Linked DNA regions of Lonchura striata. The protein of the gene in region 1 interacts with the protein of each later gene in a pairwise test. Links are inferred from orthologs where the notes say so. Each region holds a gene or a part of one and is shown on either strand. Other genes may lie near its edges.

Evidence for each region. The genes of interacting proteins can lie anywhere in the genome.
Region 2: the proteins of STX5 (region 1) and STX3 interact in binary tests that used the Homo sapiens proteins (3 or more experiments, as listed by UniProt). The link is inferred for Lonchura striata from reciprocal best matches to the Homo sapiens genes STX5 and STX3.

The regions. Positions count from the first base shown.
Region 1 is NC_134638.1:359,365-366,694, reverse strand, and holds the start of STX5 (syntaxin-5), read right to left. Parts: upstream 3,005-7,330; 5' UTR 2,947-3,004; coding exon 2,884-2,946; intron 2,710-2,883; coding exon 2,636-2,709; intron 2,106-2,635; coding exon 2,050-2,105; intron 1,780-2,049; coding exon 1,709-1,779; intron 1,631-1,708; coding exon 1,514-1,630; intron 1,062-1,513; coding exon 1,005-1,061; intron 541-1,004; coding exon 465-540; intron 1-464. Other genes in the region: NAA40 (N-alpha-acetyltransferase 40), read right to left, coding at 4,422-4,451, 4,781-4,864, 5,791-5,833, 5,985-6,062, 6,757-6,840. UniProt on the Homo sapiens protein: Mediates endoplasmic reticulum to Golgi transport.
Region 2 is NC_134608.1:53,791,684-53,799,039, reverse strand, and holds the start of STX3 (syntaxin-3), read left to right. Parts: upstream 1-4,343; 5' UTR 4,344-4,544; coding exon 4,545-4,574; intron 4,575-5,940; coding exon 5,941-6,018; intron 6,019-6,096; coding exon 6,097-6,196; intron 6,197-6,283; coding exon 6,284-6,358; intron 6,359-6,475; coding exon 6,476-6,543; intron 6,544-7,029; coding exon 7,030-7,138; intron 7,139-7,313; coding exon 7,314-7,356. Other genes in the region: PATL1 (protein PAT1 homolog 1), read right to left, coding at 370-553, 685-771, 844-1,055, 1,188-1,277, 1,450-1,551, 1,644-1,838, 2,416-2,493, 2,573-2,784 and 2 more. UniProt on the Homo sapiens protein: Potentially involved in docking of synaptic vesicles at presynaptic active zones. Apical receptor involved in membrane fusion of apical vesicles.

The sequences.
Region 1 (7,330 bases):
CCACCCGGAATTCCATAAAATCCCCATCTCCCACCCGGAATTCCACTTTTATCACCCAAATTCTAGTCTGAATTCCAAAAAATCCCCATCTCCCACCTGGAATTCCACTTTTATCACCCAAATTCTAGTCTGAATTCCATAAAATCCCCATCTCCCACCCGGAATTCCATAGATATCCCCATCTCCCACCCAGAGTTCTGCTTTTATCTCCCAAATTCCAGTCGGAATTCCAAAAAATCCCCATCTCCCACCCGGAATTCCATAGAAATCCCCATCTCCCACCTAGAATTCTGCTTTTATCACCCAAATTCCCTCTGAATTCCATAAAATTCCCATCTCCCACACAGAATTCCCCTTTTATCACCTGTAATTCCCCCAAAATTCCACAAAATTCCCATTTCCCACCCAGAACCCCCCCCAAAATTCCCTTTCCCCCCCGGAATTCCCAGGAATTCCTGGCTCACCGAGGTTGTTGGCGGCCAGGGCGGAGACGGGGGCGCGGGAGAAATGTTCCCGACGGCTGCGCTGCTGCTTCAGGTTCTGGGGCAAAACCAGGGGAAAATGGGGAAAAAGGTGAGAGAAAATGGGGGGGAAATGTGGAGAAAATGGGGGGAAAATGGGGAGAAATAGGGGGAAAAATGAGGGGGAGAAAGAGCAAAGAAAGGGGGAAAATATGGGGAGAGAAGAGAAAAATGGGGAGAAATTGGGAAAATGTGGAATAAGGAGAAGAACAGAATTGGAGAAAGAGAAGAAAAAGTGAGAAAGCAGCAGAAAAGTGAAAAAAAGAAAAGTGAAGGAAAAGGAAAAATCAGGAGCAGAAAAAAGCGGGAAAAGGATAAAAAATTGTAACAACAAGAACAAGAAAAAAAATGAGAAATGAGCAAAAAGGTAAAAATGGGAAAAGAGGAAGGGAGCGAGCAAAGAGAAAAAAGAAAAAAGAGGGAAAGGAAAAAAGAGGGAAAGGAAAAAAGAGGGAAAGGAAAAGCTGCAGCAGCCCCGCTCACCTCTGTCCGCACCTCCAGCACCGATTTGAAGTCGTTGGACATCGAGGCCAGTTTGGACTGGGGAGGGAGGGTGGGGGGTCACTGGGGGGCCCCTGAGCTCCCAAAACCCCCCAAAAAATCCCCCGAACACCCTCCAAAGCCGCCCCAAAAAATCCCCCAAAAAACCCCCAAAACCTCCCCAAAAACTCCCAAAGGCCCCCCAAAAACACCCCCCAAACCCCCCAAAAACCCCAACAAAACTCCCAAAAACCCCCCAAAACCCACCCAAAACCCCCATACCTCCCAAAAAAACCCCAAAACTCCTCTAAAACCCTCAAAAGTCCTAAAAACCCCCCCAAAACCCCAAAACCTCCCAAAAACCCCCCAAAGAAAACCCCAAAATCCAAAACCACCCCCAAAAAAACCCCCAAAAACCCATAGGAACCCCCTAAAAAACCCACCCAAAAATCCCCCAAACCCCCCCAAGAGTCCGAAAATCCCCCCAAAATCCCCCGAAGCCCCCGGCCCACCTGCAGGGAGAGCAGGACGCCGCTGGAGTGGCTCTGCAGGTGCCGCCCGCCGGGGCCGCGCCGCGCCCGCAGCAGCTCCTGCAGCGCCGCGATCTGCGCGTTCAGGCTGCCCATGTCCTGGGGGGCACGGGGGTCAGGGGCACCCCAAAACCCCCCCACAAAAACCCCCCAAAACCCCCCGACCCCCACCCGCACCTGTTTGATGATGTAGGTCAGCTCCTCGATCTCCACGGATTTGTCGTCGAACAGCGACTTGCGCTTGGCCACTGCGGGGGGGTCAGCGGGGTCACAGAGACCCCCAGAGACCCCCCAAATCCCCCCAGGACCCCCCAAATCCCCCAGAGACCCCCCCAAATCCCCCCTGAGACCCCCTAAATCCCCCCTGACACCCCAAATCCCCCCTGAGCCCTCCCAACTCCCCCGTGAGCCCCCAAATCCCCCCTGACCCTCCCAAAGCCCCCCAGAGACCCCCAAATCCCCCCAGGACACCCCCAAAGCCCCCCAAAGCCCCCCGGACCCCCAAGCCCCCCGCTCACGCAGGGTCAGCTTCTCCAGCTTGGCGAAGGTGTTGCTCAGGTCCTTCCCGATGCGCCTGGGGGGAGGGGGGGGCAGGGATTGGGGGGGGTCTGCAGACCCCCGCCCCAATTCCTCGGGACCCCCACCCACATCTGGGGACCCCCACCCCAATTCCCGGAGATCCTGACCCCAAATTCTTGGAGACCCCCACCCCAGTTCCTGCTGATCCTGACCCACCATACCCGGGGACCCCCACCCCAATTTCTGGGGATTCCAACCCCCAATTCCTGGAGACCCCCACCCCAATTCCTGGAGATTCCAACCCCCAGTTCTCAGGAACCCCCACCCCAATTCCTGCTGATCCTGACCGCCCACACTCGGCGACCCCTACTCCCAGATCCTGAGGACCCCAACCCCCAATTCCCAGAGACCCTGACCCCAAATTCCTGGACACCCCCGGCCCCATTCCGGGGGACCCCCACCCCAATTCGGGCTAATCCTGACCCGCCGTACCTGGGGACCGCCACCCCAATTCCCGGGGATCCCGAGCCCCGATTCCTGGGGGACCCCAACCCCGAATTCCCGGGTTCCCAGACCCCTCCTCACTTTGCCATCAGGCTGAACTCGCTGCGCGGCCGCCCCGGCCCGGGCCCGGCCCTGCCCGCCGGGAGCCCCCGGTCCTGGGGGGGAACCGGGGAAAACGGGGGGTCAGGGGGGACCCCCGGGATGGGGGGGGTGGGGGTTTGGGGAGACCCCCGGTAATTCCCGGGGGGTTTGGGGAGACCCCCCGGTAATTCCCGGGGGGTTTGGGGAGACCCCCGGTAATTCCCGGGGGGTTTGGGTGCCGGGGTCACCTGGCGGCCCTGCAGCGATTGGCAGGCGGAGAGGAACTCCTGGGTCCTGTCGCGACACGACATGACGTCGGCGGGCGGCGGCTCCGGGGGCGCGGGAGGCGCCGCCGCCGCCCGGGGGGGCGCCGGGGCCGCGCCCGGTTCGCGCTGCCTAGGCCCGAGCCGGCGGCGCGCCTGCATCGGGGCTCATCGCCTGCCCTGGGACACCGGCGGCACCGGTTACCGGCGGCGGAACGGGGCGCGCCGGGAGCCCCCCGCGAACCGGCGCCGCCCCGGAGCCCCCGAGGGGTCCCGGTGCCGCCCCTCCCCCCTCACCGCGGGCTCGGCCGCCGCCACCGGGAGGCTCCGGCCGCGCTGACGTCACTGCCACGTCCGTTCCGCCGGAAGTGCCGCCGGCACCGGAACAGAACTCCCCGGTACTTCCGGGAGGGGACGGGGAGAGGCCACGCCCCGGTGAGGGCGGGGATGGGAACCACGCCCGCTGAAACGGGGCCCGCCCACTGCAACGCCTCCCGCCGGCGGGGAATGGCGGGAACGGTATGCAAATGAGACCCCGCCCCCCAAACCGGAGCGGGAATGGCGGCCCCGAGCCCGGGGACACCGGGAGGGGCGGGGCCCCGCCCCCAGCAAAGAGTCCCGATTTGATTGGTGGAATTGATCTGCCCCAGCAACAGGCCCCGCCCCTAGCAACGAGCTGTGCCGCGATCTGATTGGTGGAATTGATCTGCCCTTGCATAAAGCCCCGCCCCCAGCAACGAGCTGTGCCGCGATCTGATTGGTGGAATTGATCTGCCCCAGCAACAGGCCCCGCCCCCAGGAACGAGCCCCCCCCCCCCCAATGGCGCCGTTCCCCGTGACGCCCCGGTGACGTCAGGGCCCGGTTCCGGTACGGCGGGACGGACACAGAGGCTCAGGCGGAATCCGCGGTTCCTTTATTGGGGCGGGGGGAGCGGGGAGGGTCCCATGGGCGGCGGCGGCGCCTCCCGCCGGTCGCGGCGCTGGTCCCGGTGCTCGCGGGGCTCCCGCAGCGGCTGGTCCCGGTGTGCGGCGGGCCCGCCTCACTCCTCGCGTTTGCGGTAGTCCTGGATGTGGCCCAGCACCCAGGCGGCGGGCCCGAAGATGGACACGAACACGGCGGCCAGGCCCAGCACGGTGTCCTGCGGGGACGGCGCCGTTAGAGCCGCGCCGGTCACCGGGGCCCGGCCCCGCCCGGGTCACCCCGCCCCCCCCCGCTCACCGCGGTGCTGACGGGGCTCAGCGCGGGCCCGGAGCGGAGCCCGCGCGGGGCCGGGCCCGGCCGGGCCGCGGCGCGCAGGACGGAGCGGGCGAGGAGGGCGGCGGGCGGCAGCATGGCGGCGGCGGCGCGCTCTGACGTCACTTCCGCCGCGCGCCGCTACGTCCCGCCATGGCCACGCCCCCTCGTTAACATAATTTATTCGTAGCCGCGCGAGTTGCTGCGCTGCTCATTAGCATAGCCCCGCCTCTCCCGCGCACGGCCACGCCCCCAGCGCAAGAGCCTCAATTGACGTTTATTTATTTATTTATTTATTTATCCCGTACAAACAAAACGGCTGAAAAAAAAAAAAAAGGAAAAAATAAAACAGAAATAGAAATAAAATAGAAATAGAAATAAAATAGAAATAGAAATAAAATGGAAAAAAAAAATAGAAAGAAAAAATAAAATAAAAATAAAGAATAAAATAAAAATAAAATAAAAATAAAATACGAATCCAGCACAAAAATCCCCCTCCCCGCCCAGCGCCGCGCCGCCGGCACGGGGGGAAGGGCCGTTTGTGTCACCCGCCCCGGGGGTCCCGCCGGGCGGGCGCGGGGCTGTTTTTGGGGGGCTCAGTGGCAGCAGCCGGCGCAGGGGCCCCCCCCGGGGTGGGGGTCCCCGAACCTGGTGCTGCGGCTCAGGATCTCGTAGGAGGAATCGTCCCCGCAGCAGCCGGACACGCTGGGGGAGGTGGCGTCCACCTCGAACCTGGGGGGACACGGGGGGGACACGGGGTCACCGCCACCCCCCTGAGCCCCAAGGATCCTTCCTGACCCCCCAAAACGCCCCCTGACCCCCAGAAACCCCCCGGGACCCCCTCCTTGTCACCCTGACCCCCCCACATCACCCCCCAGGCTGGCAGTGGGAGGGGATGGGAGGGGAAAGGCTGGGGGGGGGGAGCAGCACCCAAAAAAGGGTAAAAAACCCCAAAAATCAGAGGAGAAAGGGTTAAAAACCATCTGGGGAAAAGGGGTTGAAAGCCTGGGAAAATGGGTGGAAAACAAGCAAAAAATGGAAAAATGGAATAAAGGGAAATGTAAAATGTCCTTGGAAATTTGGGGTTAAAAATGCCAGATTTGGGTAACGGGAAGCAGAAAAAAGGTTGTGGAAATTGGTGGGAAAAGGGGAAAAACTTTTGGAAAAGTGGGTTAAAAAAGATGAAAAAGAAGCATGGGGGAAAATCTTGGAAAAGGGACTAAAACCTTGAAAAAAGGGTTTGTAAAATCCTCAGGAAAGGACCAAAACCCCCAAAAATGTGTTTAAAAAACTAACAGAGAGTTAAAATTATTTCTCTAAAACTAGGGAAAGAAAACATAAAATGAGCTTAAAATTCCCCCAGAAAAGGACCAAAACAACCCAAAAAATTAATATAGAACCTATAAATATAGGCTTAAAATAAATATAGAAAAGGATAAAAGCCTTGGTATAAAAAAATAGAAGGGAAAAGGGAAAAAATGTTGGAGAATTAGTTTCAAACAGCTGAAAAAAACAACTGCAAATGGGTTAAAATACCCAAAATGGGTTTTTTAAGGATCCAAAAGGGGATCCCAAACTGACAGCAAAATGACCAAAAACAGGGAAATTTTCCCCAGAATGGCCTTCGAAAGCCCCGAATTTGGGTCCCGAGCACCCACCTCTGTCTGTGCCCCTGCCCCGCCTGCCCGCGGCGCCCGGTCACTGCAACGACAGGGTGCCACAGCTGTCACAGCTGTCCCCGGTGTCCCCCCGTGTCCCCTCCCGGTGCCGGTGTTCCCGGTGTCCCCGGTATCCCCCGGTGTCCCCGGTGTCCCCCGGTGTCCCCCGGTGTCCCCGGTGTCCCCGCACTCACTGCAGCGCCTCGCGGAAGAACTGCAGCGCGCCGTGGTTGTGCTTGAACACCGTCAGCATCACCTTCTTCATCTGCGTGCTGCGGGCACGGGGCGCGGGTCACCCCAAAACCGGACTGGGAACCCCAGAACCGGACTGGGAACCCCAAAACCGCCCCAGGGAACCCCAAAACCGCCCCAGGGAACCCCAAAACCAGACTGGGAACCCCAAAAACCGGACTGGGAACCCCAAAAACTGCCCTGCATCAGCTCCAAAATGCCCTGGTTTCACCCCAAAAACCAGCCCCATGGTACCCCAAAGAATGCCCCGGTTTCACTCCAAAAGCTTCCCTGGTTGGGCTCCAAACTGCCCTGGTTTCACCCCAAAAATTGCCCCAGTTTCACCCCAAAAACCAGCCTGGTAGAACCCCCAAAACTGCCCCCGTGGAACCCCCAAAACTGCCCTGCTTTGGCTCCAAGCTGCGCCGGTTTCACCCCAAAAAACCGGCCCAGTGGCATTCTCAAAACTGCCCTGGGTTCACCCCAAAACACCCCCAGTTCCCCCCCAAACTGCCCCATTTCACCCAAACTCCCCCTGGTTCTGCCCCCAAACCTCCCCCAAACCCCATCACATCCCCCCCAAATCCCCCCGACACCCAGATTCCCCCAAAACCCCCTCCCTTCCCCCCAAATCCCCCCCAAACCCCCTCCATTCCCCACAACCCCTCCAGAATCCCCCAAAATCCCCATCAGTCCCCCCCAAACCCCCCCAGTTTCCCCCCAGACCCCTCTGACCTGTTGGCCACCAGCTGCAGGATCTGCAGCAGGAACTTGCCCAGCCCCCTCCTCCTCACCCGGCTCTCCAGCTGCACCTCATAGCTGCAGGAGGGACACCCCAAAAACCCCCTGAGACCGGGGAACAGACACCCCAAAAACCCCCTGAGACCAGGGAACAGACACCCCAAAACCCCCTGAGACTGGGGAACAGACACCCCAAACCCCCCCTGAGACCGGGGAACAGACACCCCAAACCCCCCCTGAGACCGGGGAACAGACACCCCAAAACCCCCCTGAGACCGGGGAACAGACACCCCAAAACCCCACTGAGACCCGGGAACAGACACCCCAAAACCCCCCTGAGACCGGGGAACAGACACCCCAAAACCCCCCTGAGACCCAGGAACAGACACCCCAAAACCCCCTGAAACCTGGGGATAGACACCCCAAAACCCCCTGAAACCTGGGGATAGACACCCCAAAACCCCCTGAGACCCGGGAACAGACACCCCAAAACCCCTTGAGACTGAGGAACAGACACCCCAAAACCCCCTGAGACCGGGGAACAGACACCCCAAAACCCCACTGAGAC
Region 2 (7,356 bases), on another chromosome or scaffold:
GGTTCATCACCACCATTCCCAGTCAGACTAAAGTCAACCTTTCCCTGACAAGGATCTCTCTTGAGTTTTCCATTTACCATCTCCCTTGTCTCATTCCAGGGGTTTTATCCTGGCTCTGTCACGCTTCTGATGGAGATGACCTGCTCTCCTGTTATCCCAGACCTATAAAACCAGTCTATCCCAACATCTCCTCACTCCTGGAAATCTTGCCCAAGAAGGAGTCAGCTCTTCCCAGTGACGCTGATCCCACCCTGTCCCACTGCCTTCCTCTTCCAGGGAGGAAAACAACCCATTGCAGTTCTCCCTGAACTGACATCCCCTTCCCACCTGATATCCAATGAACAGGGGGAAGATGCTGCTCCTGAGTACCTGATAATAATAATCATCCAGGTAGGGATCAGTGCTCTGCAGCTGCATCATCTGGATCTTGGACACCCAGTCCTTTTCCCGCTGCAGCATGAGGTTGGCGTAGGGATCCTTACGGATCTGCTCCTGATGGCTGCTCCGGTGGCCCCCTCGGTCCCCCCCGGAGCCGTTGAGGCTCCGGTGCTGGCTGGCAGGAGAAGAAGGGCACCCGTGAGCACACCGGAGCTACAGGAAGGGACAGAGAGGGGGGGGACAGGTGACCCCGGAAGCAGGACACGTCCCCGTGCCGCGCGGCCCCGTCCCCGTCCCCGCACTCACTTCCGGTTCTGCTGCCGCTGGTGCAGGAGCCGGCGGTGCTGGGGGTGCAAATGGGTCGTGTCCGGCCGGAACATCTGGGGCTGTGGCCTGGGGAGAGCGGGAACGGTCAGGGAGGGATGCAGGGAGCGGCTGGGATGCCGGGACAGGGACAGCACCGACCTCAGGTTCTGCAGGTGGGATCCGGGGCCCGGAGGGTGCGGCAGCTGCGACGGGGGCGGGGCGGGGGGAGCCCCGAAAAAGGCACGGAACCCTCCGGCCGGGGACATCATCTGCCCAACTCTGCCCTGGAGCAGCTTGGGATTCACGGAGGGCAGTGGGCTCCCCACCAGCCCGGACACCCGGGCGAACTGGCTGGGGGACATTCGGCCAGCCTGGAGGGGCAGAGAGGACACCTGGAGTCAGCTAGGCGGGAAAAGGGTCTGGGATGGCCAACAAGAGCCATGGAATGCCAGGTCCTGGAGCCACGCAGAGAGAAAGGTGGGATAAAGCACGGGAAGCTTTACCTGGGCTCCTCCGAGCAGCTGGGCTCTCTGCAGGTGTGTGAGAACAGGAGACACGCTGTGGGGAAACGGGTGGCCCAGGAGGGAGGAATTCTGGGGAAAGAGTTGGGAAAAGGGACCCCAGTCACAGACCATGGCTGGCAAACAGGACAAACCCCAGGAAAGCCAAGCTCCCTGGGGTGGGGATGAGGCACAGGAACACAGGGAAGTTTTGTGAGGGCTCGGCATCAATTCCAAAAAAGATGGAGGAGGGAAAGCTGGATACCGGAACATTGCAGAGTTGGTTGGGGGACATCCTCTCTCCATAGGGAGCAGGATAACGCTGCTGCATGGTAGCTCGGATGTGGACAGGCTTGGGACACAGGATCTGGGAGGAGGCAAGTGGCACAGTCACTCCCCCTGGGAAGCAGCCTGCACCCTTGGGAGCAGTAGGAAGTTGGGAAGCGAGGAAACGGATACCTGCTGGTTGAAGTTTGGGATGGCGGCCTGTTTGGGGGGGGTGCCGATGGGAATGGCCCGGACCGGGGGGCTCCCGATGATGGGGGAGGAGGAGCGCCGGGGCAGCGCCCGCTCCGATGGATCCCGCTCCTCATCCCGAGCCTGCGGCGGCCTCTGGGGCAGGGCATAATCCAGCACGGACACCGACGGCATCTCCTGCAGGAGAATGGGCGGGACACCCCCTGGAGTCACGGGCTGGCATACGGAGGAGGGTCAGCGTCCCCTCTTCCTCCTGCCAGCTCTCCATGTCCCACTGTGCTTCCCTGGCATCTCCGTGCGACGCTGGGCATTCCCAGAGCACACGTGACTGCCAAGAGCACTCTGTTTGGGATAACAGGGCGTGGGGCGAGAAGCCTGGGTCACCTCCCAGCCCGGCAGAGCCAGGAAAGGGTTGGGAGAGGGTTGGACACGCAGCACTTCAAAGCCTGACTCTTAATGAAACCACAACACAAAAATCCTCTGCCTCCAGGCATGAACATTCCCAAATCCTGCTGAGAGCCCTGAAATCCCTCAGACATCACCAGGCATCCAAGAACAGCAAAGCCCATCATCCCAGCCCTCCAGGGTCCAAGGGTGGACAGAAGGTGACAGCTATGAGGGTCCCCCACAAGGCACGGATGCAGCAGAGGGAAACAGGACACTCCAATATCCCAGGAGTAGTCTATCCCACCCAGCTGGCTGCCACAGGCATTTGGGATCAGCAGGGAAGAGCCCCCTGCCCCCAGCACCCTACCTGAGTGAGGAGCGGCCCCCGGATGCGCCGCAGCATGGCGGAACTGTCCCAGATGCTGGAATTCAGCCTTCCAGGCTGCTGCAGAGCACAGGGAGAGTCAGGACGGCGCTGTGGGATCCACCCCCACATCCCCCCAGCTCCCCCAGCCCGCTCCCACCTGCGGGGGATCCCTGGTGTGCACGGCCTGCATGATGGCCGGGTCCTCCAGCTCGCTGTCGATGACGAGGCGGGTGAGCCGCTCGGCCAGCGCATCCTCGGGATCGCCCAGCACGTCCCCGTCGTTCCCAACGGGACCATCCGGCTCCCGGCTCGAGCCGGCCTTGTCCTCCAGCTCCGCCAGCCGCTCGTGGGCCTCCTGCCAGTCATCGTCTGCGAGGGGGCACAGGGTGAGGGACGCGGGCCGGGGGCATCTGTGGGGTCAGGGAGGGCTGGGGGCGACACCCCGGGTCTCACCGACAGCCCCAGCCCCGAAGGTGTCATCGTTGAACTGGTCGATGTCTTCATCCTCCTCCCCCAGGGCCTGGAAGGCGTCTTCATCCTCGTCCAGCGGGCAGTCCTCCAGGGACTGGGACGGCCGGGAACGGGGTCAGCCCCACTTCACCTCCGTGATGACCCCGCAGCCCATCATACCTACACAACACACCCCCCCAGCCAGCGATACCCCCCCAGCCCCATTACCCACCCCTGGCAATGCCCCCAGCCATTACTGCCATGCAGGGATTCCCCCAAGCCGTCACATCTCCCCTGCAGTGACCCCTGCAGACCCACAGCGTGACCCCTCCCGTTATGGCTCCCCCAGCCCCTTGCAGGTGCCCAGTGCCCCCAGACTCCTCCTGCCAGCCCGGAGCCCCCCTCACACCCCCTGCCAGCCCGTCAGCAGCCGCCCTCCCCAACTCATTTCACTTCCCCCGCCCCAGCCCGTTACACCCCCCCCACCCCGTTACACCGCCCCGGTGCCGTGCCGCACGGCTCTCCTGCAGCCCCGCGGAGCCCCGCGGGGCCCCGCCCGCCCCGCCGGCCCCTCCCCGCTCACCGGGTACCGGAACATGGCGGCGCCGGCGCCCCCCGCCCGCAGGCTCCGCGCCGCCCCGCCAGGCCCCGCGCCCCGCCGCGCATGCGCCGCCGCGGGCGCAGCCGCATGACGTCATCCCCGCCACCGCCCCGCGACCCACCCGTCGGCTAGGGGGCGGGGCCAACACAGACCACGCCCACTATAGACCACGCCTCCTCTCTATATTTCTTAAAGGAGTAGCGTCCCTTTTTCTCCCGGTGACACCCGTGCGTCCCCGCCCGCAGCCGTGACCCCCGGTGTCACCCCGGCCATAGCCAATGCCACCCCATCCCCAGCCCCAGCACTGCCCGCCCAGCCCTGTCCCCAGCCCTGTCCCACCCGCGGTCATGCCCACACCCGCGTCCCCCGTCCCCAGCCGTGTCTCCCCCTGTCCCCAGTCAGGACCCTCAGTGTGTCCCCTAACTGCAGACATGTCCTCAAGCTGTCCCCTATGCCTGCTCATGTCCCGTCTCCAGCCGCGTCCCCCAGCCGCGTCCTGAGATCACAGCTGTGTCCCCAGATGTGTCCCCTATCCACAGACTTGTCCCCCCGCCCCCAGCCACGTCCCCAGCTGTGACCCACATCCACGCCCCCCGTGTCCCCAGCTGCGTCCCCCCGGCCGTGTTCCCCGTCCCCAGCCGTGCTCCCTGTCCCCAGCCGCGCTCCCGCTGCAGTCACACGTGGCAGGGGGTGACACGTCCTCACCGTGTGACCCCCGAGGGGGATCAGCTTCCTCATGGCCTCCAAACCCACATCCTCCCCCACCCCTGTCACCTCCCGGGGTGCCCGGGGCCACCCGCAGCTGCCGGCTCCGGCGGGTCCGGTGTCCCCGCGCGTCCCAGGTGAAGGGGCGGCTCCACCGCGTCCCTCCCCTCGGCGCCTTCCCCGCGCCCGTCACTGGGGATTAGCGCAGGGACAGCCCCGGCCTCGGCGACAGGCACGGGGGACAGGGCCACCCGCCACCTCGCCTGGATGTAGGAGGCCCGGCCGAGCGGCGAGGACCGAGGGTGACATCGCCCATCCCTGCGCTGGGCGAGGACGGGGACCCCCCCGCGCCCCCCCAGCCTTTGGGGGCACCATGAAGGACCGGCTGGAGCAGCTCAAGGCGGTGAGGGACCCCCGGCGTGGGGAGGGGACGGGGGACTCCCCCAGGGGGACCCTCGGGAAAAGGGTGACACCGGGATGGGGGTCCCCGAGACCCCACCCCATGGTGGCCGGGGACATCACGGGGAGAGGGGACCCCAAAAACCGAGCCTGGGGTGGATGGGGACGTCACGGGGTTGATGTCACTGAAACGCCACCCCACGGTGCGTGGGGGTGTCACGGGGATGGGGGGACTCAGACCCCATCCCACAGTGGGCTGGGGTCTCGGGGACACCCCAGTCCATGAAGGGCGAGGACGCCACGGGATGGACGGCACCGAGACCCACCCTGCTGGGTGTGGGGTGTCACGGGGGTCACCCCACGGCAGGTGGGGGACCCTGAGCTCTGTACAACGGGGGTGACAGATGGGAGGGACCGGGGGGAGGTCATCCCCGTGCAGTTTGGGGGCACGCTGGGTGTTTTGGGGTGACGTGACATCCCCCCAGCCGAGTCCAATCCCTTCACGCCGTGGGGTGTGATGAGGGGACAGCAGCCCCCCGGCCCGTGGGGGGTGTCCATCCCGCGGGGGAGGCGGTGGATTTGGGGTGTCCACACCCCATTCTGCACCCCACACTTCCCCGTGTTCCCGCCACCAGCGCCGCTTCCTTCTCCCTTTTCCCGCTCTGTGTGGGGCCCCGCTTCCCCCCGCTCCTGGGGGGCTCCCCCTGCTCCCCGGGGACTGTGGGGGTCCCAGCAGGCCCCCAGCTCCCGGCCGGGCCCCTAGGCATGGCAGGGAGGCTTGGCAGGGATTTACCGGGATTATGGAGCCATCAGATAAAGCCCTCGGTGGGGACTGAAGGGATTAATTTTATTTTTACTCCAGCAGCAGGAGGAGGGAGTGGGGGGTCCCAGCCTGGGGTTTGTCCCCATCCCCAGGACACCCCAACAACACCTTGGGGTGCTGGTGGAGCTGAGGGGGTGAGGGGAGGCAGAAAGGTTGAGGCTGAGTTTTGGGAAGGGCGGGATTTGGGAGCACAGGGGAGGGGGCCTGGACACGATACCAGGGTGAAGGGCACCAGCCACCTTCGTGCCCCCCAGGGCTGCCCCAGACCTGCCATGGGGCCACGGTTTGGGACATAAACCCCGTCCCGTCCCCATCCCGTCGCTGTCCCCGTTCCCTCCCTCTGGCCAAGCCCAGCAATCCCTTAATTCCAGCCACGTGTGGCCAGATGTGAGCTGGGCTCGGCCCCCCTGCTCTCCCCCGCTGCAGATGTCCCCCCCTGTGCCACCACATCCCCCATGGCTACTCCCCCCGTGTCCCTGTCACCCGTGGGGGGCCCTGGGGGTGCTGGCAGGGCACGGGGTCCCCCCTGAGCGCCGTGTCCCAGCAGAAGCAGGATGCGGACGATGAGGAGGAGCTGGAGATCGCCGTGGACAACACGGCCTTCATGGATGAGTTCTTCTCAGAGGTGAGGGAGGGTTGGGGGTGGGGCTGGGGGGTGTAGGGCTGCCTCTTAACCCCCCAAAATCCTCCCGGGGGTGCCCAGATTGAGGAGACCCGGCAGAACATCGACAAGATCTCAGAGAACGTGGAGGAAGCCAAGAAGCTCTACAGCATCATCCTCTCAGCCCCCATCCCAGAGCAGAGTGAGTGCTGTCACAGTGTCCCCAGGGTCAGTCACGGGGCCCCCCCCGGGGACATTCCCAGGGTGGCTCACACCCGTGATCCCACAGAGACCAAAGATGACCTGGAGCAGCTGACGGCAGAGATCAAGAAAATGGCCAACAGCGTCCGTAACAAGTTGAAGAGTGAGTGGCCCTGTCCCCACCTTCGTGTCACGGGTGTCCTGATCCCCGTGGGACTCTGGATCATGGGGGCTGGCAGTGGGAAAGGTTCCTGGTGGGTTGAGGTCTGTCTCTCTCCAGGTATGGAAAGGAACATCGAGCAGGACGAGGCACGATCCTCAGCCGACCTCCGGATACGCAAGTCCCAGGTGAGCTCTGGCCCACAGCCTGCATCCCCAGGTCCCACCCTGTACCCCACGGACTGGGCATGTGGCATGTCCAGGAGCCCCAAGTCTCCCAATTCTATCCCCAACAGCACCCTGTGATCCCAGGCTTTGTGACCCTCTGCTCTGTCCCCAACCCTCTGTCATGTCGCCCTGTGCTGGGACATGCTACATCCAGGGTCCCCTGGCTCTCATGCCACTGTCCCCACTCCCAGCATGTCCATCCTGGGACCAGGAACATGCCATGCCCAGAGTGTCACTGATCTGAATTCCCATCCCCGCCCTCAGCACCTCAGCTTGTCCCCTGGGCAGTGTCACACCTCTCTCCTCGCTCCTGTCCCCTGTGAAAATGCCCCATGGGGATATAACATGCCTGGGGTGTTCCATGTCCCTCAGCGTCACACCGTGCCCTGTGGTGTCCCAATCCCAAAGTTCCTGTCCCCATCCTCACATCCTTGTCCCTGTCCCCAGCACTCGGTCCTGTCCCGCAAGTTCGTGGACGTCATGACCAAGTACAATGAGGCTCAAGTGGATTTCCGGGAGCGCAGCAAGGGCCGGATCCAGCGCCAGCTGGAAATCAGTGCGTGACCCAACCCCAAACCCCACCTCCTCCAAAAAGTGGGAGGAGCCAGCTCACACAGGCCCCTCCCATTTGACCAAGTTTGGTCAAGTGGGAGGAGCCAGGCGGCACAGACCCCGCCCCTTATTCCCGGACTGGGTGGGGCTTGTTCCCACCTCTCCCCACGTGCCTGCAGCTGGCAAGAACACGACGGACGAGGAGCTGGAGGAGATGCTGGA